2 linked regions of the Medicago truncatula genome follow. The protein of the gene in region 2 binds, or shares a complex with, the protein of the main gene of each other region. Links are inferred from orthologs where the notes say so. Each region holds a gene or a part of one and is shown on either strand. Other genes may lie near its edges.

Region 1 (11,365 bases), about 17 Mb from region 2:
AAACGCCAACACCATTTTCCTAACAGGGCTAAATTAAACTCTCTCAACCTCCTTACACCCAACCCTCCATACTCCTTTTTTAGACTCAAAGAATTCCAACCAATCCAAACTATTTTTCTTTTATCCTCACTACCCCCCCCCAAAAAAAAAAAATTTAATTAACAGAGATTCAATGGAAGAGATTATACCTGACGAAACTTTGAAAAAGGAAAGTGCATAGACATGAAGAGCAGTCAGGACGGACTTGAGAAGGATTAGGCGACCACCAAAAGAGAGAAACCGACTACGACAACCAGACAGTCTAGATTTAATTCGATTAACAACAGGTTTCCAAAATAATAACCGACGAGAGTCACCCCCAATCGGAAGGCCCAAATAGAGAAACGACACTGTACCCAATTTACAACCCAACACTAAAGCCGCTTCAGTCAACCAAGAAGCATTAATATTAACCCCTATCAACGAACTTTTATGATAGTTAACTTTCAAACCTGACATAGCCTCAAACAAGACGAGAGCAGCCCTCAAAGCACGAACATTAGCCCAACTTTTCTTCCCAATAAGAAGCGTATATATCACATTTCTAACGAAAGTAAATTTTAGCCATATCATCGAAGATACATGAGAAAGAACCATATTGCTCTAAGAATCTATTATTTTTAATGAAACATTTCTTCTTTTGAATGCTTTCCACTCCCTTCCGTCCCTCTTTTGTTTGGTTTTAGAACATAGTCACATAATTCGTTATAGCGATTATTTTAGTGTAGCGGTCATCGCATTTCGGCTTCTCTTCCGTTCCTCTGTCTCAGACTCTTACCCTAAACTTTAAGGCAAAGTGTTTATGAGTCCTCTTACTTATAAAGTGTTCAACCTTTACTTTTCTATCCGATGTGAGACATCATGCTAGAACAACCCCACAAGAGAGAGACACCACACTCTTACCCAAAACCTTAAGGCAATGAGTTTATGGGTCCTCTTACTTATAAGATGTTCAACCTTTACTTTTCTATCCGATGTGGGACATATAAGTCACACTGGCACACAACAACATTTTTATGTCTGTGTAAATTATATAAGCTGTATAAAATTTCAAAATAGCGGCCATTGTGCTACATACTATTTCGCTATAGCATTTTTGGAGTCTGCCGCTATGCTTCACTATCTGGGATTAATAATGGTGGTTTACATATGAATGATGTCTATATATACCAATCGAATTTCTCTCAAGATGCTTATGAAACATATTTTACTACGTTTTAAACCAACCCCAAAATGGATGAATTTTTCTTCTGGGTTTTCTTCTTGTGAACTGTAAAGAACTTCTTAAAGTAATTAGAGGCCTATAAGGGGGAAAACATTGTACAGAAAAATATCATCTGATTAATTTGCTTGAAATTAGTTACATTATTTTTTCTTGAATATCATGAAGCTTTCTAGCACTACTAAAAAATATTTTATTTTACTATTAGTAGTATGTAATTTCATAGGAATTGAAGCCACTAAGCCACTTTATGACTTTTCTTGTGTTGAAAATCTGAGAAGGTATGAAACCAGACATGGAATAGAAACAGGTTTGCTTCCATGAATCAAGTTTCTCAGAAGATTGGAGAACTTTGATGTTACAATATTTGAAGATGTTATGAAATGTCTAACTACTTATACCAACTGCTTAACTATAGCTTTTCTCCATAATCCAAATAATACACTCATTCTCATTTTAAATTTGTGTGATAAAATAAGTTTAATTAAGGACAGTCTTGGTCCCTTTGTTCAGATTTTTGAACTGTAATTTAATATAAGCTTAATTTTCTGTCTCCCTATTTTAACCTACTCACATAAATGGTCCCTCCATTTTAAAATCACACATTTTTCATCCTTTTTTTCACTTCAGTTTTTAAACTTAAAAATGGTGATATATCATATTTTAATTGAAGTTTTAGAGTTTTATTTTTGTAACTTTGTGGTTATTAAGTATTCCACATCATCAGATTGCATGACATACAATTTAAAATATGTCACCTCACCATTTATGAGTCAAAAAAATTATGAGACTCATCACAACACACACTCGCAACTAACACCTTGAGTGTGACTCGAGTGACTTGATGAATCTAGAAAAAGACTTGAACACTATCTTAAAATTTGAATCGAGTTTGTGACAAGTGTTCATCATTTATAACCACATTTTAGGCCATATTTTTATCTAGTGATACACTCAAGAATGTTTAAGACAATAACCTTGCATGGGTAGTTTTTACTTTTCATGTAAATAACTCTCATATGATGTTCATTTTTCAGTTATTTAAAGACAGTCAAGTCAAGACACACAAGCAAGCAACAAAAGATGGAGTCATGATAAAAAAGTTTCCCTTTGTTTAAACAACAATGCCTAACAAATCTAAGTAGCTCCAAATGGTAAAAATACCCAAACTTCATCATCACCTTCAGAATAACAACAATGCTCCTAAACTTCTAACAAAAATTAATAACTATGATCATCGATCGATCAATTCGAGGGAACATGGTAGTATTTTCCTTTACAAATACATCTGTAAACCATAGGACAAGACTCTGCCATAGAACATTTGTTGTAACCTACCATGACTCTCTTGCAGGGTGAACATGGTCCACATGCATGGGAACAATCTGGTATGGTGGAACCGGTTGGATAGAGTTCCATTACATTGCTACCTTCTCTTGCTCCTTCCTACAAAATCACAAATATGTGAATCACAATTGATCATTCACTTCTTGACACAAGTGAAGTGAGTAACTATACATTATACAATGTTGAAACTAAATGTGTCAAACCTTTTTGTCTATAATTGTTGTTCTCTCTTCTTGTAAGTGCATTACCTTATCTGGAACATGAGAATAAAAACGAATGTGAAATACTCAAGGCAATAACATAGATACTTACATCATTACATGATACTAGAACACTTATGCATGAGGTAACTACGAGAAAAACAATATCAAATTCATGTGTTACTTTCAAAATTACGTAAAGGGTCATGTTAACTGGTTCCCCGGGGGCAACGGTTAAGGAAGCCAAAATATAAAATGTAAAACATGTCACGTACCATGATTTGGGATCACTCTAAGGCACCAACCAATAGAAAATACCGTGAAGAAAATAACAACTAGGAAAGATTTGTGGGCTCTAAGAGAGTAAGTGCTCATATTTGTAGGAACTACAAACTCAAGTGTAGCATAAAATCAATTTTCATTAGTAGAGAAAAAATGTAAGCTAGCTAGCAAATGTAGGGGGTACTATACTATACCATACAAAGAGGGGCCTATTAATATATGCACGAATATGCAAAGGGATATTAAATGTGCAACAAGATTCATATCTGCCATATCTCACATGATCCACGACCTTCTATTAAATACTTCACAAGTTTTGGTTTATCCGAGAAATAAATATAAAACAAAAAATTATCAGTATGGTCAGAAACTATAAATATAAATAAAGAGAACATTTAATTTGAATAATAATTCCAAACCGTTTGGATACAAATTGGAATGTGGGGTTTGATTTATCAAAGGAAAGGGAAATATTATTGTTTGAATGATGGAATTAATTTCAACATGCTGGACAAGTGAAAATGACTGACAAACCTTCTTTAACAGCGGTTGCTATCTTAATATTTAATTTGTCATAAATTCAACAAATTTCAAAATTTTGTAGAGTATTGGAGGAAATATGTTGCATGTGTCAGAGGACCATATCTAGAGCAAATCGAGTGATATTAAGGCCAACTGAAAGCTAGCAGTATCCACAGCTACATTGGTAAGCACTTTGGCTTAATTCAAATGTTAAATAGGTCAAAATTTAAGGGATTAATTTAGGTATTAGTTTTTGTTAATGACTGAAATGGACCAGAAAGAGGGAGCAAATTGGTATATATATATATATATATATATTTATAATGAGCAAATTAGTCGTTAGTCTTGTATTGATGACAAAATGATACGAATAAAAAAATTGAATAAGATTGATTACAATAAGGTTTTAAGCCCATATCTCTAATTGGTTGTATGTATAAATTTTTGGCGAATGTGTTGGCCAACAGACCGAGAAATCTAAGGTTAGATTTTTCTTTTCTTCTGTGGATGGTATTGCCATTGATAATAAGGTGTTGATGATGCCAAGAAATAAAAAAAAGAGTTCATTTTGTTCAAAGTTGACTTCAAAAAGGCCTATGACTCTAGAATTGGAGTATCTGGAAGTGGTTATGGTTAAGATAGATTTCTTGTGTATATGGTGTAAGTAGATCATGTAATGTGTGAAATCAGTGACAATTCCATTTTAGTTAATGCAGTCCCACCGACGAGTTTAAGATGGATAGAGGGTTACACCAAGACGATCTCCTTTCACCGTTTTTTTTTTCTTCTTATTGCAGCTGAAGGTTTGAATGTGATGTTAAATTCCTACGTGAATGTGGGTCTTTTTATTGGTTATGTCATTGGTGAAGATTCCAATTTTTGATTTTATCATCTTCAATTTGCTGATGATATGTTGCTTTTAGGGGAGAAAAGTTAGGAAATATCCGAGCTTTAAAGGAAAATTTAATTCTTTTTGAGCTCGTACTTGGTTCAAAAGTGAATTTTCATAAGCGCTTTCTGATAGGTGTTAATGTTGAGGAATCATGACCAGCGTGGAAGCCACTGTTGTTTTAAAATATAAAATTGAGTGGATATCATTTGTTTATTTGGGCTTACTATTGGTGGCAACCCTCACCCCTTGTCTTTTTGCCATCGTTTGTTTGACAACATTCGAAAAAGAATATATTGGTGGAAAAGTAAAAACCTATCTACGGGCGATCGACTTGCTCTTATGAAACATGTCTTGTCGTCATTACCAATTTACTTTCTTTACTTGAATCCCATTTAAAACTATTTTTATGTGGGCGGGGGGTTAGTAAGGTTGCTCGCAAAATTCACCAGATAAAATGGGATAAAGTTTGTTCTATCCTGGAGTTTGAAGGTTTTAAGGGGGTGGTTCAAAGGTGGAGAGTGGGTAATGGCAAGAATTCTTCTTTTTCGAATGATCCCTTGTTGAAAGGTGGTCCTTTACGATACAAGTTCAACCACTTTTTTTATCTTCATGTTGATAGTAATATAACAGTGGCTGAGATGAGGAAGTTAGGTTGGGGGTTGATGGAAATAAGTGGAAGTGGATGAGGAGACTATTTACTTGGGAGGAGGAGCATGTGTTGGAGGGTTACTCTTTGTTAATAATATTGTTTTTTCAGGGTAATATTGTAGATACAAGCACTAGGATATACAACCCAGCTGAAGGCTATTTGTTGAAATTTGGCTTCAAATTTGTGGTTTGGAAAAACAGAGAAATCGTGACACGATTTTGTAATGCCGTGAGCTGGTTTGCAGGGTGTCAAATCGTGGCACAATTTTGTGAAATCGTGACACGATTTTCAAACTTGCTGGTTAAGTTTTCAGGATAAGGTTGGTCGTACCTTGGGTCGTACGCATCAATCGTGGCACGATTTGGAAAACGTGGCACGATTTTATCAACTGAAGACTGCTATATAAGTGTTCTTGTGTAGATTTTGAAGAAGAGCTTGAAGAGAGAGAAACTTGGATTACAAAGGAGGTAACTTTAGGGTTGAGTGTCTTTATAGTGAGGATCTCTTGGGTTGGGAAACATTGTAAACATCTTGGGTAGTGAGATTTCACCATTGGAAGGATCAAAAGCTTCCTTTTGTGTCTTCTCTTTAGGGGTCATTATTGAGAGAGTGGGAAACACAAATGGGTAGAAATTAGATCTTGTTCTTGTGTAAGCTTGCAAGCTATTTTCTTGTAACTCTTTGTAACACTTTCATCATAGTGGATTGGAGAGCTGCTCTCTCCCCCAAATTAGGTCATATTGGACCGAACTGGGTCAACAATCTTTTGGTGTGTTTGTTTCTTCTTTCATTGCTTATCTTTGTTCTTTGTATATGCTTGTGGTGTTGCTCTACACTAGACTAGGTCTGTTTTTTTGTTATTGTTGCTTGGAGACACTTTACACATTGATTATTACTTCCTTTGCTCCACACATCTTTGTTTTTCATTGGTGTGATTATCAACCGGAACTCACAACACTATTCAGTTAAAGGAGTCTATCAGCTGTTAACACACGATGACCAACAATCTAAGGAGCCCATTACAAATAGAATTTGGGAAAAGTTTTGCTTTTCATGTTGCGACTGTTGAACAAAAGTATTTCGATAAGGAATAATTCTTATTCTTGTTGCCGTTTTTATTACATGTCTTAAGCCCCTGTTTGGATCTGCGTTTGAGAAGCACAAACGCACGATTAGCACATCAAACGTGATTTTATGGTATGAATAGGATGTTTGGCATCCAATTGAAAACGTGCTTTTTTCCCTTTAAACTTGATTCTAGATGAAGCTGCTTTATGTAGCAGTTTTGCGTCTGCTTAAATTGATTTTGCATAAAGTATATATTTGTTTCCAGCTTTACCCTTAATTGTTGGGTGGTTATAGGTAGACCACTTTATGTGGCAATCCCACCTTATACACCTCTTGTGGCACAATTTAACTTAAAATAATAAAAAATGAATTCTCTCTCTTGACTGCCTTTCCCCTTCTCTTTCTTCTCCCTCTCTCTTTACCACCACCACAGACCACAACTGACAAAAAACCGACGCCGGCGCCGGAACTAATAAAACTCATATCCTGCCGTCACCTCCGCCGACCGTGGTTCCTCCTTCCTTCACCGGCCGTGGCACCTCTTCTCCACACAAAAAAAAGGACATAAAAAATTATGCAAATTTCTCCTTTCGATTGCCAAGAAGTAGATGCTTCATCTCTTGGATGGGCTATGTCAGCAGTTTCATCTAGAGCATTCAAGTTACATGGTAACAAGCAATCGAATGGGGTAAACTTTGACATTCCCATGATGCTCCCTCTAATTGACATGTGTAATCATAGTTTCAATCCAAATGTTAGAATTGTTCAGGAACAAGAAACTGGTAGCACAAAGATGTGGGTGAAGGCATGTTATTTCATACTCTTTCCTTCATGACTCCTATCCCAGACACATACACTCACACGTCAAATTCTGAGGAATTTTCTTTTCAGAAACAACTATACTTTTGATTTTTCTTTGCTGAGGAATTCAATCTTTGCCATAGGTTGTGGCTGAGAAAGCAATCAAGGAAGACGACCCTTTATTACTTTGCTATGGATGTTTAAGCAATGATCTTTTCCTTCTTGATTATGGATAGGAGAAAACAAAGATACCCTTGGAAAACGAGCAGTATCACCAGAGATGGAAGTGCGGCGGATGATTTGAGATGAAAGGGGAAGTTTGAGAGAGGGGATGGTCTCTGAATGAATCAGAAAAACAAAATAAAAAAATGGGTAAATTTACAAAAATGTCCCTGCCACATGGGATGGTACAAGAGTGGTACAAAAAAGAGATGTCTACCAATATTTACTCTAATTGTTCTACTGTATTTTCAATGGTTGCTTGCTACAATTTCCCTTATCGGCTTCTTATTGTATTGGTGCAGAAAAAAGATGTTCCAAAATTAGTCCCATTGTGTTGCCAATATTTTATTTAATATATTACTAGCATTAAAAAAAATCAAAGATTATCAAACAAATATATATATACACTACCAAAAAAAAACAAATATATATATATATAGATATAGAGAGAGAAAAAATTTAAAACTCTATATATATTCACACAAAAAAAAAGACTGATTAGAACGATGATGGTGGTTTTTCATTTCATTATCATGCTTATATTTTACGGTGCTTATAGTTTACTGTATTTAAAAACAACTCTTGTAAATTAATATTTTAAAGTGAATTTAAATACAACAAAAAGGATAAGTTCCTTAAAAAAAAAAAAAGGATAAGTTGGTCATTATACATTTAAAATTAATTTTGATTCAAACTATTCAAACAACATCAACTCATAAGAATCACTTCTATGTGAGAGTATCCAAATATAAATCAATTCACATCCAACTCACTTTTAAGCAAAATCAATTCTCTCAAACTCAATTGTATTAAAATTAATTCTCTCCACCGCCCACCCAAACACACACTTTGTTGTCTTATGATGGATATGGAAATGAGGAACCGATCAATCATATTTTTCTGAAAATTGGTTGGTAACTGAAGGTTCTTTGGTCTACCCTTTTTTTTTTTTTTTTTGCAAAAATAAACAATATTCATTCATTCAAATTGATAGAGTACATCGATACAATACAAATCCAAATTCGATAAAAACAAAAAGGATAAATTTGTGAACAAACTCACAACATCCATGGTAATAACATAAAATGACAAAGTACCGATGCCTACAAATATGACTAATATGACTATATTCATGTCTCCGGATCTGCAACGTTGACGACGCGAAAGTTATTGTCATTGATCGGATCTGCTCTTGCTCAAAACTAATCTTTCAACCTGAATCAAATAAACACCGCACTAAGACGGGAAATAAAAAACACACCGCACAAAGAAGGGAAATCAAAAGAAACAGAGTCGTTCAGAGACGAAGAAATCACAAAAACAAACGAAAGAAAACAGAAAATATGTAAAATCACATATTCAATTAAATTATGATAGAAGGAAAAACAATTCGGATGAGTGATTTTTGGGTCAAAATTGACCCTAAATCACCCATCTGAAAGAAGAAGAAGAAGAACGAGTGTGACAGTTAGGGTTTGAGAGAGAGGAAGAATGGAGAAATTTAGAGTGACGTGATGGTGTAGTATTCTACCCTTTTATTTTTAATTTTTTTTTTATATATTCACTCTTGGTGGATATATTTGTCTGCTTGTATTGGGTTCTCCACCTTTGGTGTGTTTACCAATTTTTGGCTTTGATGGTGTGGACTTTTATGTTTGTGTGACATTGTTTTAAGTTCTTGATAGACATATCTTCGGTGTGTTTGGACGGAGAGTTTAAGAGAGAGTTTATTTTTCATTTCACTACTAAAAAAATAAAAATTAGTGAGGGAAATTTTGTGAGGGAAAACGTGAAATCCCTCTCTAATTCCGTCACTAAATTTTGTGACCATGAAATTTGTGAGGAATTTCATTTTTTCCATCACTAATTTCCCTTGCTAATTTTACTTTTTCTAGTAATGTTTTTAAATTATGAACACTATGAAATATTTTTTAAAAAGTTAATATAATAACATGATAAACGATCATGTAATATTTCAATCACATGTAATTTATTTTAGAAAAACATGTTATATAGTCAATAATTTAAAAAAGAAAAGTAAACTCCATTCTCCTCCTATTGTTAAAAAAAAAAAAACTCCATTCTCCTTCTAAACCCTCAAACACACCCTTGTGCTAAAAAGCGTTGTTTGATGAGCTGCGTAGTGTTTGATGAGCCTATGCTTTTTTGGACTTTGCTTAATATATTTTTGGCTTCTTAAAAAGTTTTGAAAAAAAGATTTATTGAAGAAATGTGGAAAATGCAATTTGACCAGAAGTCAAAGATTATGATTATAAAAAAACACAAGTCAAATAAAAACTAAAACCCGTTCATTATTCTTTTTGTTTAGGTGAAATAAGTATTCTTCTTTTAACTATTCAAAAAAAGTATTCTTCTTTTAATGGTTGTCTGTGTTATTTTTTTAATACTTGAATTATATAATACTTTTATTAAATTTTATCTATTTTTTTGAGAGGTTGACTTTTTTCTATTGTAAATAACATTCTCTACAAACTTAATTACCAATTTTTTGAGATAATAATATTAGCAATCAATATCTAGATCAGCCAAGTGGTATATATTTGTGTCCCTTAACTATTTTATTCAACATTCAATATTTTACTTTTTTGACGCATGATCTCGTGTTTGATCTTTGTCTAATGCATATGAAAAAATATTTGTCAGAAGATGTCAACTCTTTAAATGATTTTCATATACCTTAAGAAGAATATTAATTTTTGCATTTGCTAACAGATGATACCTTTAGTTTAAAAAAAATCAATGTAACAAAATCAAGTCATTTGCACTCAAAAGATTAATGAATTTTAGTCAAAGACAAACCGTTCGTAGAACACAACTTTGAATATTGGTTTAAACAATTCTCAACCAAAGGTAAGTAAAAAAATCCTTTATTGAAAAATCTACAAAAATAAAAGGACATTTATATCTCTTATTGTCTCAATAATTTTTTTAATGATATTCCTTTATTAAAATATATATTCTATAAATAAGAAAATGTAAATATTTTATTTAAAAATTAAAATTTTGAATAATTAATATTTTTAATAACTATTTGGTAATAAAAAAGAAATTAATATTTTTTGTATTACATTCAAACAAACAGGTCCCTTTGAAATATTATTAACAACATTGTCTAAAAAATATTGTATTTAAAATCCCTTATTGACCAACAAAAGTTGATATGCACCAAAAATAAGAGTATATAGGACCCCCACCATGTATGCAATATTTGCATCAACCACTTTGAATTTTACAATTATACAATAACTATGGCATTTTTTCTAGACAAGCAAAGAGAAATGCTGCTGCTTCTTCTTCTTCTTCTTATGCTTCTCATTTTATCTCCACCATTGATTCAAGCAGATCTGAATTTAATAAAAACCTTATGCCGTAATTCGGACACCCCTGCAACATGTATGAAATGTGTCACGTCTTCAGAAAATGCTTTGGTACTGAACAGTGTTGGCATAGCCACAAGCCTTGTCGATTGCACCGATGATCAAGCAAAGATCTTAGGAGCAAGCATGGAAGAGTTGGCTACAAATTCATCTAATGACACTAGAAAACCAATTTATCAAACATGCGCGAATGATTATCGGCGTAATATTCCTCCTTTCTTAGTTTCAGCAAAATTTTCTTTGCGGGAACATAACTATGAAGCTGCTGAATATTATGTTCTTAAAGCTCGAAGGCTTGATCTTTATTGTCATCGTGATATTGAGAGCTACAAAGATGAAGTTCAAGATGAAGTTTATTTTAACATGACTAGGTTTGAGGAGTTTGCTGATTCTGCTTGTAGAATTATTGAAAAGATTTATGCATGAGTTTATTGTCTATCTATAATAAATTGTTATTTCTTTAAGTATGGTAAAAATATAACTGTCCTTAATTTTATTTTATGAGGTCAATGGTGGACATAGAATTAGCTTTTTATTATGAGAAAATGATATTTATTACAACAGTTTTTGTACAACTTTCTATCTCATACTCACATTATCTTCTTATTCTCTTTCTTTCTTTTTATTTCTCTGTTGTTATTGAACAATGAGAAGAGATAATAACAAGGTTGTCTTAAAAGTTGTACTAAAAGAGTTGTTCAAATAACACTACTATTTTATTAT
Region 2 (11,209 bases):
ATTATTACTAGAGATGGACAGTACTTATCTTCACTCCACTATCGATAGGTACAAATAATCCAGAATTGTCTTTGTTTTGCACTTTCGTTTAGATGCGTAAGCATAAAGAGACAGAAAGTTTTGGCAGTGTATAGAAAAAAATTAACAAAACATATTTTTTGGCCCAACAGATAGAGGTTGAATAACTTATAGAAAAAAGATAGAGGTTGAATAACACTTGTGAACATTTTCTATCACAAGCTACAAGGACCTCAACTTTTTTCTAACGGTTGCTTAGTTTAACTTTATTAAAGGTAATTAATTTTTTAATAAGGCAGTGGTAGGCCTTCCTCATACCAAAAATAAAATTGAAGATAGCTAACAAATCAGTTGCTATCAAGGCAATGACTTGCAAATAGGTAATGGGGCAAAATGACATATTTTAAGTTATCTTCCAAACAGCAAAATGCATGTGTTTTATTCCTATTAATTATTTGATATTTTATTTTTATATCAAACAAGTGTGGAAAGATGGAATTTCTGCTTGCTTGTCTATAAAGAAAGGGGGAAAATTAAGGGGGTGTATTGAATTAGGATTTTAAAAGACAATTTTTGTTTAAAAAAGTCTTGAGGATTTTAAAAGATTTTGCAAGATTTTGATGACTTTGATGATTTTAAAAGACTATTAAGGATTTCAATGGATTTAATTCATAAGATTTTAAAGGATTTGAAATGATTTTATGGATTTCAACAGATTTCAACTGATTTTATAAATTTTAAGAAATAATTGAAAAAAATATCATAACACACTTTCTTTCACAAAATCTCAATAAATACTCTTTTATTTATCTTTTTTTATTTTTTACGGGAGAGTTAGAGCTACAAAATCTCAATAAAGACTCTTTAATTTATTTTATTTTATTTTTTACGGGAGAGCTAGAGCTAGAGAGAGAGAGTGAAGGAATCCGAGAGAGAGAGATTTTTTACGGGAGAGCTAGAGAGAGGTTTTTTACGAGAGAGAGAGAGAGAGAGAGAGAGAGAGAGAGAGAGAGAAGGAAGGGGAGAGAGAGAGAGAGAGAGAGAGGAGAGGAGAGGAAAAGAGAGAGTAAGAGAGAAGGGAGGAGAGAGATAGTAAAATTTTAAAAGAAAAAAACAATCCTAAGAAATCTCATGTTTTCATGAAAATGCTAAAATTTCACTAGAAAATCCCACAAAATCCATCAAAATCTTATTTATTAAACAATCTTTCGAAATTTGAATGATTTTGAATACCACTAGACTTTTTTTAAGTGATTAAGAGTCTCGATTGAATACCACAAGACTTTTTTTAAATGACAAAGAATCTTGATTGAATAACACAAGACTTTTTTTAAATTGGAAAGAGTTTTGATTGAATACCACAAGACTTTTTCATGATAAAAAAGTCTTTTAAAATCCCTTAGAATCATGATCCAATACACCTCTAACTAAAAAAAGATGGTAATATGTTCTTTTTCCCCTTAATTAAATTGATAAAAGAGATGCATAAAAAATTTCTTAATATTTAAAAATTTAGCTGGGTTTCATGAGATTGGGAAAATAATTAGACTTGTTTTTGTGGGTCTTGTTGAATGGCAGGTGTGAATGTATCGTATATAAATATACTAATATAAACATTAGTACAATACAATATAATTTTCCTTATTAGGTAAGGCTATGATGAGTGCATGATTGATATCAGGGTAGGAAGTGGTTGTCCTCTAAGACATGCTGAAATAAATTATGAGTTGTTTTATAATTTTTTTTAGATGGACGAAATGATAAAACCATTATAAAATCATGTGGAAGTATCGGGGTTCGAACCCCGATCATGACATCCAACCTAACAATTTCGACATTTTATCAGTTGAGATAAGATTTATGGATAGTTGTTTTATAATTATACCCAAGGATTCTGTCTTGCTTATAGTACTATATACCATTAACACTATCGATAAACCAATTATTTCATTAATATTGAAGCGATTCAAAAATGATCTTAGTTAAAATGAAGATGCTTTAAAAAATATATTACGGATTATATTATTAACGATTGCTCTAAAGAAATTGTTTAGAGAACCTTAAAAATGCAAATCAAATATCTATTAAACTTATAAATACATATTTTTCTATGTAATTAAAAACGATCTTTTATTTGGAAAGCGAGAAACGAACTCTACCATCAAATCAATTAAAGCATGGGCAAATTTCCCCATTGTCTATGCAATTTGGTGGATCTATCTCCATGCTAAGTATGTCTATGCAAATTGCATAGACTTTAAAAACTAGTCATTATATTAATATATCTTAAGAAGTACTATATCGGAGAAAAAGTTCAAATTTAGAGACTAAATTGACAATCCATCTTATCTTATTATATGAGCCCAACTTGCTTGACTCAACTTAAGCCTAGTTAAATAAGCTCTCAATCTAACAAGGATTTTGGTTTATTAATTAATATTTGATAAAAACTTCATAATTAGTGCAGCACTATCCAAATATATATCAAATTACATTAGTATATACACTTGGATAATATTACACCGTTCAATAAATTTTTATATAAGAGACAACAAGTGACTATAGCCTGGATTTCAGTCACTTTTCAAAAGATTTGCAGTATAATTGAAGATTACAAACACTTGGAGCCCCAAAAAGAAGAAAAAGGAGCATAAATTATGAATTTTTCAAGGAAGATTGAAGTTTGTTGAGAATGAATTTTTTCTAATTACAACGCAGTATGAAAATTCAAACATCAGCCGACATATCTTTCTATGCATGTGCACCCTAAATTGATAGTAATTGCAGATTTGGATTGATACATAATTGTGATGCATGGTGCAATGAAAGGGCAGCTATATCACCCATATGATACTATGATAGTGTAGATACTAGTTGCTATGCTTTGTCTTTTCTAAGAACAAAATATTCTTACAATCTATTTTTCATTAAAATCAGCATGAAAGTTCAATTTAAAAGATATTTATGGTCATTTTTTAGTGAGAAACAATACCTTATTTTTAAGAGCCAAACTATATTAAAATTAGAAATTTAATTGGCACAAGAAATGCCAAAATTAGCAGAACAACAAGAAGAATAAAAGATGCCAAAATTTAGAACAAGTAATCCCTGCACATAATTATATCATAGAGTACAACTAGTAATCATCTTATTTATGAGACATTATTGTATCTAAAACACTGATATTGCTAATAATTAACATTACAAGGTCTTTCTTAGATTCTTTTCCTATGCTATTATAATGAATATACTTTACTTACAAGAAAATTAAAGCAAAGAGTACAAAAGTAACTAGTCTCAATGACCTTGTAAGTGTAGCATCCGATGAGATTGGAACATAATCTAATAATGCAGGCTTTTCCCTGTCTGAAACATGTTGCACTGTCCTAACCGAACCTGGACTTGAACTCTCACACAAACCAATACCAAGATCAGAGTCCACACTATCTCCAAGACCACTACTTGCATCATAACAAAGCCCTGAATTGTTATTAAGCCTTAACTTTCTTTTCATCCTCCAAACCATTTCCCTTTCAAATGGAACAGGTCCAGTTAGCCCATTATCATTCAGCCTCAGTTCACTCAAGCTTCTCAAATCTCGAAAGCTTTTCGGGATCGAACCATTGAAGTGGTTCCCATCAAGGTGAAGTACGCGAAGGTTTGGTAATTTACCTAACGATTCCGGTATTGGGCCGAGCAAATTCATATTCGACATAACTAAAATCGTTAAATCTTTCATGCCGTCGAACCCATTGTTGGGTAATATTGTTGAGCCCATTGGGTTTCCTTTGAGCATCAAGGCCTGAAGAGAACTCAGGCTTTTTAGGGACTTTGGAAACGGGCCTTGAATACAGTTGAAACTCAAGTCCATAAGCATAAGGTCTTTTAGGCCCATTAGTTTATCTGGAATTGGGCCTGAGAGCCTGTTTCGACTCAAGTCCAATTTAATAAGAGATTGACATTCCCAAAGAGTAGAAGGGATTGAATCTGTTAGACGATTCTGGTTCAAGTCCAATACATTTAAGTTCAAGAAAGTCAGGTTGGGTATGGGACCAGTTAACTTGTTAACACTCAAGTCCAACGACTTTAGACCGGTTATCCGGTTCAATGAAACCGGTATGGAACCATTGAGATTGTTTTTATGAAGATCAAGGACCTTAAGACAGGTGAGATTACCCAATTCATTAGGAATTCGGCCTATATGACCATTTTCTCTTAAGACTAGAGTTTGCAATGAAGGGCCCAATCGGCCCAAGAAAGATGGTATAGGGTGAGGATTGTAACTAAAACAACGGTAAAAGAAGAGGGTTTTGAGATGAGGGAGGTTTAGGATGGAGGGTGAAATGGTGGAACTCGTGGGATCGCACGTAGGAAAAGCCGTGTCGTCTGAGAGAGCACCGAAGGAGAGGGAGACAATGTGGTACACATTGTCTTTATCGGGCATGCATTCGATGCCATGCCACCGACCACGACAAACGTCAGGGATGTCGGTGGCCCAATCGTTGCCAGTGGCTCTCATGATGTCGTAAACTGCATGTTGCTCGCGGGGATCGGTTCTTGCATTATCTTGTTTAGGTGAAATGCCATCTATTAGTGGTGTGGAACCTGAAGGCACGGTGGAGCTATTGGAATCAGAAATTTCAACCGTGTAAGGCATTACTAAATCCGACAAAAACAACAATATAGTAAAACATACTACTAGTAGTTGTTGATGTTGATTCAGATGTAGAGTAAAGAGACAATTGCTACCAGTCATATTTTTTTTTGAATTTTTAAGTGTGTTGTGTTGTGTGTGTGATTTGATCATGTGACAATATTATTAGTATTTATAGAGGGTGTTGTAATAAATGAATGGGGTGAGAGAGTTGGTGTTGTGCATTGGGTTGGAGTAACTGTGTTCACGAGAAATGATGGAATAGTCATAAATGTAAATGAGGCAGAATTTGCACATTAATGTGTTTCACGGGATTTACACTTTCAAAGGTTAATTGGGTGAAGACAAGACAACGGCTCTTGTACTAGTTGCAGTAATAAGCAGATAAGCTAGTTTGATAGGAGATGTTCTTTTGCAGAAGATAGTAGATAAATTAATAATGAATTGTAGATATATTAGTTAATTGAATTTAAAGTGTTTGGTAAATATGATGAATGAATTGATGAAAGAAAATAATGTGAAAACAAGAGGAAAATAAAATAAATTAATGTTGTTTTATGTTGATAAATTCTCTTATCTAAATTATTGTTTATTAGTATTACTAATGATGAATAGATGTTGTTATGTGTTGTTAAATTCTTTTATAGAATTATATGTTTATTATTATTGAATGTGAAATCTCACCTCTTCTGTTTGAATGTTGCCTCTACGTGGGTAACGTGCAGATAACCAGAATTAGCTGTTGATGTGAGTTGATTCTCTCACACGTCGTCTTAGGGTCGCTCTGATATGTAACGGGATGAGAATATTTGTATTATTTTCCATTTGTTACGTATTATTATGAATTATGTTGATGAACCATTTGAAATGGAATTTTTAAGAAGTTATTTATGTTGAGGCCGTAGTGTCATTTTGTTGAATAATGAAATGTTTTTTCGCTGAGATGTAATTTGAAAATTATTGATAAAAGATGTTTAAATAAATAGTAATTTTATTCTATTGATCTTTTAAAGAAGTATAACATCCTGTTTAAGTTGAATACTCTGATTATTATGTATTATTTTGCATGTTGGAAAAACAGGATGTTACATGTAGAAAATTCATGAAAGCCTTTTACTGATTTTATTCCTTTCTAGGTTTCATGGGCCATGTGCAATTTATCTTGATTGCCTTGCATTTGAATCCTTTTAAAGAATCTTAATTCCTATGATCATTTATTCATTCTTTTGATGAAATAAAGAGAATAAAATTTATTCTTGATCTTAATTAGACTATTATTTTTCCCACCCTATACCTTTCCTCGCACGCCCAATTTTTTTTTCTTTCCAATTTACCCCTCGTTCAGATTTCGTATTCCGGAAAGCATTGTTCGAATTTTGCAGATGTTTCCGGATTTGAAAATCCAGAATAATATTTTACCAGAAGTTCTGCAATTTTAAGCTTTACAATTCGTAAAATAAAATGCGAATAAAATAAAAAACAGAAATAAAAAGACACAAACATAAAAACAACTCATTTTATTAATATATGAACAATACATTACAATAATTTTCAACCTTTTCAAGCTTATTACATAAGATCCTAAATCTATTTCTAATCTCCTATGAGACTAATTCTAAGAGCCTCACCACTGGTATGTGACGAGACATACCAGTAGTTTGCCTATTGGAGGAAAACCGGAGGAGGGAAGAAAAAACAATGCCCTTGAGGGAGATGGGAGGGGGGGGGGGGGCTGCTCAAACTTACGCCCAGACAGGCCAAGCTAAGAACCACACTGACCCACATGACCCTCAGATGAACTGCAATTTGCTGCAGCGCGGTTCCATCCTCATTGACCGTTCATACAAACCCTGAAAGTTTTCAACGAGGCCCTTATCTATGAAAGACCAACGATGGAAAACCATGGTTGTAGAAGGAAGAAGACGAGGAGAGGGTGGGAGAGGATGATGTGAGAAATGGTGGGGTTTGGAAGACTATTTATAGGGAGGGGTGTGTCAAAAACGGTTGGGAGGCCATAAATGCAGTCAAAAAACGCGTTTTACCACGTTTTTTTTCACTTGACCACCGACAAAAACGTGTGGTGCAGACCACCGGCTATGACAGATGCATTTCGGATTAATGCGATAATGGTGGTGAACGAGGAAAAGGTTGGCACTTCCTGTAGGGCTAAGGACATTCCGAAATATAAAATCCGGAAAGATTCAGAGCCATTAATGTGGGTTTGGACGGTTACAACCACTAACACGTTTTCATTGACTGTATTAATGACCTAGGACTTGTTTTAGGCTATAAATAAGCTTCCATCTTCAAGATATACCTTCATTATTCACATCACCTCTTTTCTTACATTTTCTTCAAATGTTTTTTAGTTTTTTAGGGGTGTCGATGGTGTCATGATCATTGTTGACCGTTCATAGGAGCCCTGCAATTGCAATGCATTGCAGCTTGTGTGGGGTTCATATAACGGTCAACAGAGACCCTTGATATCAAAGAAAGACACAGAAAATTACATAATATCTTGTTGACTTTTTGTAATTTGAAAATATACGATGAAGCTTTTGAAACTATTACCGGGATGAGTCACGACCAGGTCGCTCTCTTTAAGACGTTTCGCGGCACTACCTGAATTGTGCAAGGTAGACTAGCAACCGCGCCGTCTCCAGGATAAAACAGCCCAGATTCTTACTGTACGATTAAAGGCTGCACTGCCAGAAATCGCTCGAGAATGACACCTCGATATGGTACTTAGACCACTCTTCCGAAACCCACAATATGGTTCTTAGACCACTCTTCCGAATCCCACAATATGGTTCTTAGACCACTCTTCCGAAGCCCACAATTTTCCGAAGCCCACAGAAAGAGGAGGAGGAAAAGAACGATTCGTCAACACAAATCGCGGGAGATGAGAAGGGGAGAAGAGTATTCGATTCTCAGTTTTGGAGTGAAGAATACTATTCCCGAGCTCTCAATTTATAAGGAGGATTTCTACTAGAGTGTGTGATCTACCCGATGTGGGACATAAAATTTTCAATTCACACTTTACACTAATTTCTCCATCCTTATGTTTACATGCCAAAGGCTCCACAAACTCACTAGTATACTCCAAGTTTTTTCATTATACACTAGTGTTCCAACAATCCCCCACTTGAATTCAAAATTGGTTTCGAAAGTTACGTTTTAAACGTTTCCTAAAGATTGCTAGTAAACAAAGGTGTCGCCAACAACTTGAACCTTTGCATAGTGAGTAGTATTCTGATTAACAAGAGTTGCTTACAACATTGAACTCTATCTCAGACATAGGACCCACACACAACCTTTTCTTAGGTGTTTTCTAAAAAGCCCGTGCGTTAATGGCCTTGCACGTCTATCCCAGTTTTAACGAATGCTCTAGGAATTCTGCCTCGAAATTCCATAAGAACCGGCCTCAGTTCTACATACGTATAGGTGAGTCTATCAGAAGTACTCCTGTAGCTATGTACTTCACTCCATAAGAAGTATAGATCTCATTAAGAGTTTCTATTATCTCAACCTTCGGTCACTGCAGGATCATGCGTTCTCATAGCATGTTCTATCACTTGTGATTTGTTATTACCCATTGAACCTAGTTCTTGGGATCTCCAGTCATTTAGGTCGGGTTTCCATCACTTATGATCAATAGGCATTAGTCCCATCCTACTGGATGTATTTGCGACTTTCTCTCTGTTTAGTCCTTTCGTCAAAGGATCAGCTAAGTTTTCATTTGTTCGTACGAAATCTACTCTTACCGTTCCGTTCGAAAGATATTCTCTTATCGTGCTGTGTTTTCGTCTTATCTGTCGTCTCTTACCATTGTAATAACGATTCTCAATCTTTGCGATAGCCGCGGTACTATCACAATGAATTAACACAGCTGGTAACGGTCTCTCCCACAAAGGGATTTCAGATAGCAAGCATCTTAGCCAACTTGCTTCTTCACTAGCAGCAGCTAGTGCTATCATCTCAGATTCCATTGTGGACTGAGCCAGAATGGTCTGTTTCTTGGATTTCCAGGAAACAGCTCCTCCAGCAATGCTAAATATATAGCCACTGGTCGCTTTGGAATCATCTGATAAGGTGTTCCAATCTGCGTCACTGTATCCTTCAAGCACTGCAGGATATCTCTGATAATGCAGTCCTAGAGTCATGGTCTTCTTCAAGTATCTCATGACTCTTTCGATAGCTTGCCAATGCTCCATGCTTGGCCTGCTCGTAAACTTGCATAATAGTCCCACGGCGTAGCCGATGTCGGGTCTAGTACAATCAGTGGCATATCTGAGACTGCCAATGATGCTCGCATATTCAGTTTGTCTAACACTATCTCCAGTGTTCTTAAATAGCTTCACACTTGGGTCACAAGGTGTGCTCGCAGGTTTACAATCGAAGTAATTATATTTCCTTAAGATCTTCTCAACGTAGTGAGATTGATTCAAGGAAATTCCATTATCAGTTCTAGTAATCTTGATTCCAAGAATTACATCTGCCTTTCCTAGGTCTTTCATATCAAAGTTGTGGCACAACAATGATTTCACATCTTTAATGGTATTGAGGTTTGAACCAAATATGAGTAAGTCGTCTACGTATAGACATATGATCGTGCAAGTGTTATTTTCGTACTTGGAATAAATACACTTGTCGCTTTCATTCACCTTAAACTCATTCTCAATCATAAGATTGTCGAATTTCTCATGCCATTGTTTCGGTGCTTGTTTTAGACCATACAAAGATTTGTCTAACTTACAAACTTTGTTCTCTTGTCCATGGATTACGAAACCTTCAGGTTGGTCCATGTAGATTTCTTCTTCTAATTCACCGTTTAAAAAAACAGTTTTTACATCCATTTGGTGTACTATCAAATTGTGGATAGCCGCCAATGAGATTAGTACCCTAATGGAAGTGATTCTAGTTACAGGTGAATATGTGTCAAAGAAATCTACATTTTCTCTTTGTCTAAAACCTTTGGCTACAAGGCGTGCCTTATATTTGTCGATTGACCCATCAGGTTTTAGTTTCTTTTTCAAAATCCACTTACAACCTATAGTCTTACATCCAGGAGGCAAGTCAGTTAGGTGCCAAGTTTCGTTGGACATTAGAGAATCCATTTCATCATTTATAGCTTCTTGCCATAAATCAGCGTCAATTGAAGACAGAGCTTCCTTGATGCTTGATGGATCCTCCTCTATTGTATATGCCACATATTCGGGGCCATATTCTTTAGCAATTCTTGCTCTCTTACCTCTACGAGGTTCTATAACATCTCTTTCGATGTTTTCATTGCTTGTTATGATTTCAGAAGGTTGATCAAGAACTGAGTTATCGGTGCCCCCACTATTACCCCCACTGTCTCCTGACTTAAAGGGAAATTTATTTTCATAGAAGTCAACATCATTTGATTCTATGATCGTTTTAGATTTCAGGTCGTAAAACCTATAGGCTTTACTATTTAAGGCATACCCAATGAATGCACATTCATAGGCTCTACTTGCTAGTTTGACTCTTTTGGGGTCTGGTTTTCTTACATAGGCTAGACAGCCCCATGTTCTAAAATAAGACAAGTTTGGTTGTCTTTTCTTCAAAATTTCATATGGAGAAATTTTGTTCTTTGTTTTGGGTACTCTGTTTAGCACATAGCAAACAGTCAATAAAATTTCTCCCCACCAATGAGGCGCTGCTCCGGAATTAAGCATTGTTGCAACTACTAATTCGGTAAACGTTCTATTTTTTCTTTCCGCTTTACCGTTCATTTCAGGAGAATAAGGAGCAGTTGTTTCATGAATAATTCCGAGTTCTTTATAATACTCATTGAATATATGTGATCCATATTCAGTACCTCTGTCACTTCTAAAACGCTTGATTCTAATATTGAATTGATTTTCAATTTCTTTAACATACTGTTTAAATATATCAAGCGCTTCATTTTTATTTCTCATTAAATACACATGTGTGTAATCCGAGCAGTCATCTATAAAAGTGATGAAATATCTTTTTCCATTTCTAGTCAAGTTTCCATCTAATTCGCATAAATCAGAATGAATTAATTCAAAAGGTTCAGTTATCCTGGTTACTGATTTATGTGATTCTTTATTTATTTTTGCTTGACTACAAAATTGACATTTTTCAAAATCGTTTAAAGATATTTTAGGAATTAATCCTAAACCGCTCATATTTGAAATAATTCTTTTGTTAACGTGACAGAGTCTAGAATGCCAAATATTAAAATCACACAACATATAAGCAGAAGAAGAAATTTTATTCATATCAATGTTCAACTTAAACATGCCATCAGTGGCGTACCCTTTCCCAACAAAAATACCATTCTTAGTGATGGTGTACAAATCAGCCCCTATGCTTTGAGTAAACCCAGCCTTATTTAAAAGAAAACCTGAAACTAAATTCTTCCTAATCTTAGGAGTGTGCAGCACATCCTTCAATATCAGAGTCTTTCCAGAGGTGAACTTCAGCTCTATATCTCCGATTCCAACAACATCAGTGGAGTGGGAGTCTCCCAACAACACCTTCTGA

Evidence for each region.
Region 1: the proteins of protein TOO MANY MOUTHS (region 2) and protein EPIDERMAL PATTERNING FACTOR 2 are in contact, whole or in part, in a crystal structure (PDB 5XKJ), measured with the Arabidopsis thaliana proteins. The link is inferred for Medicago truncatula from reciprocal best matches to the Arabidopsis thaliana genes TMM and EPF2. Residues at the interface, in NP_178125.1 of Arabidopsis thaliana: Trp73, Ile77, Pro78, Arg82, Gly83, Arg84, Trp85, His86, Gly87, Ile88, Glu89, Met91, Val101, Asp110, Asp111, Thr112, Ala113, Lys135; in NP_564442.1 of Arabidopsis thaliana: Asp75, Tyr78, Ala79, Gly81, Ile104, Arg106, Arg112, Tyr113, Tyr114, His115, Val116, Pro117, Ser118, Arg119.

The regions. Positions count from the first base shown.
Region 1 is NC_053043.1:34,361,280-34,372,644, forward strand, and holds protein EPIDERMAL PATTERNING FACTOR 2, read right to left. Parts: upstream 3,288-11,365; 5' UTR 3,184-3,287; coding exon 3,084-3,183; intron 2,862-3,083; coding exon 2,812-2,861; intron 2,708-2,811; coding exon 2,507-2,707; 3' UTR 2,354-2,506; downstream 1-2,353. Other genes in the region: uncharacterized protein, read left to right, coding at 6,796-7,026, 7,166-7,258; uncharacterized protein, read left to right, coding at 10,514-11,068. UniProt on the Arabidopsis thaliana protein: Controls stomatal patterning. Regulates the number of cells that enter, and remain in, the stomatal lineage by inhibiting protodermal cells from adopting the meristemoid mother cell (MMC) fate in a non-cell-autonomous manner.
Region 2 is NC_053043.1:51,016,020-51,027,228, reverse strand, and holds protein TOO MANY MOUTHS, read right to left. Parts: upstream 4,805-11,209; 5' UTR 4,775-4,804; coding exon 3,275-4,774; 3' UTR 3,110-3,274; downstream 1-3,109. UniProt on the Arabidopsis thaliana protein: Promotes cell fate progression in stomatal development. In leaves, needed to correctly orient spacing divisions, to limit the number of asymmetric divisions in neighbor cells, and to promote the asymmetric (amplifying) divisions of meristemoids.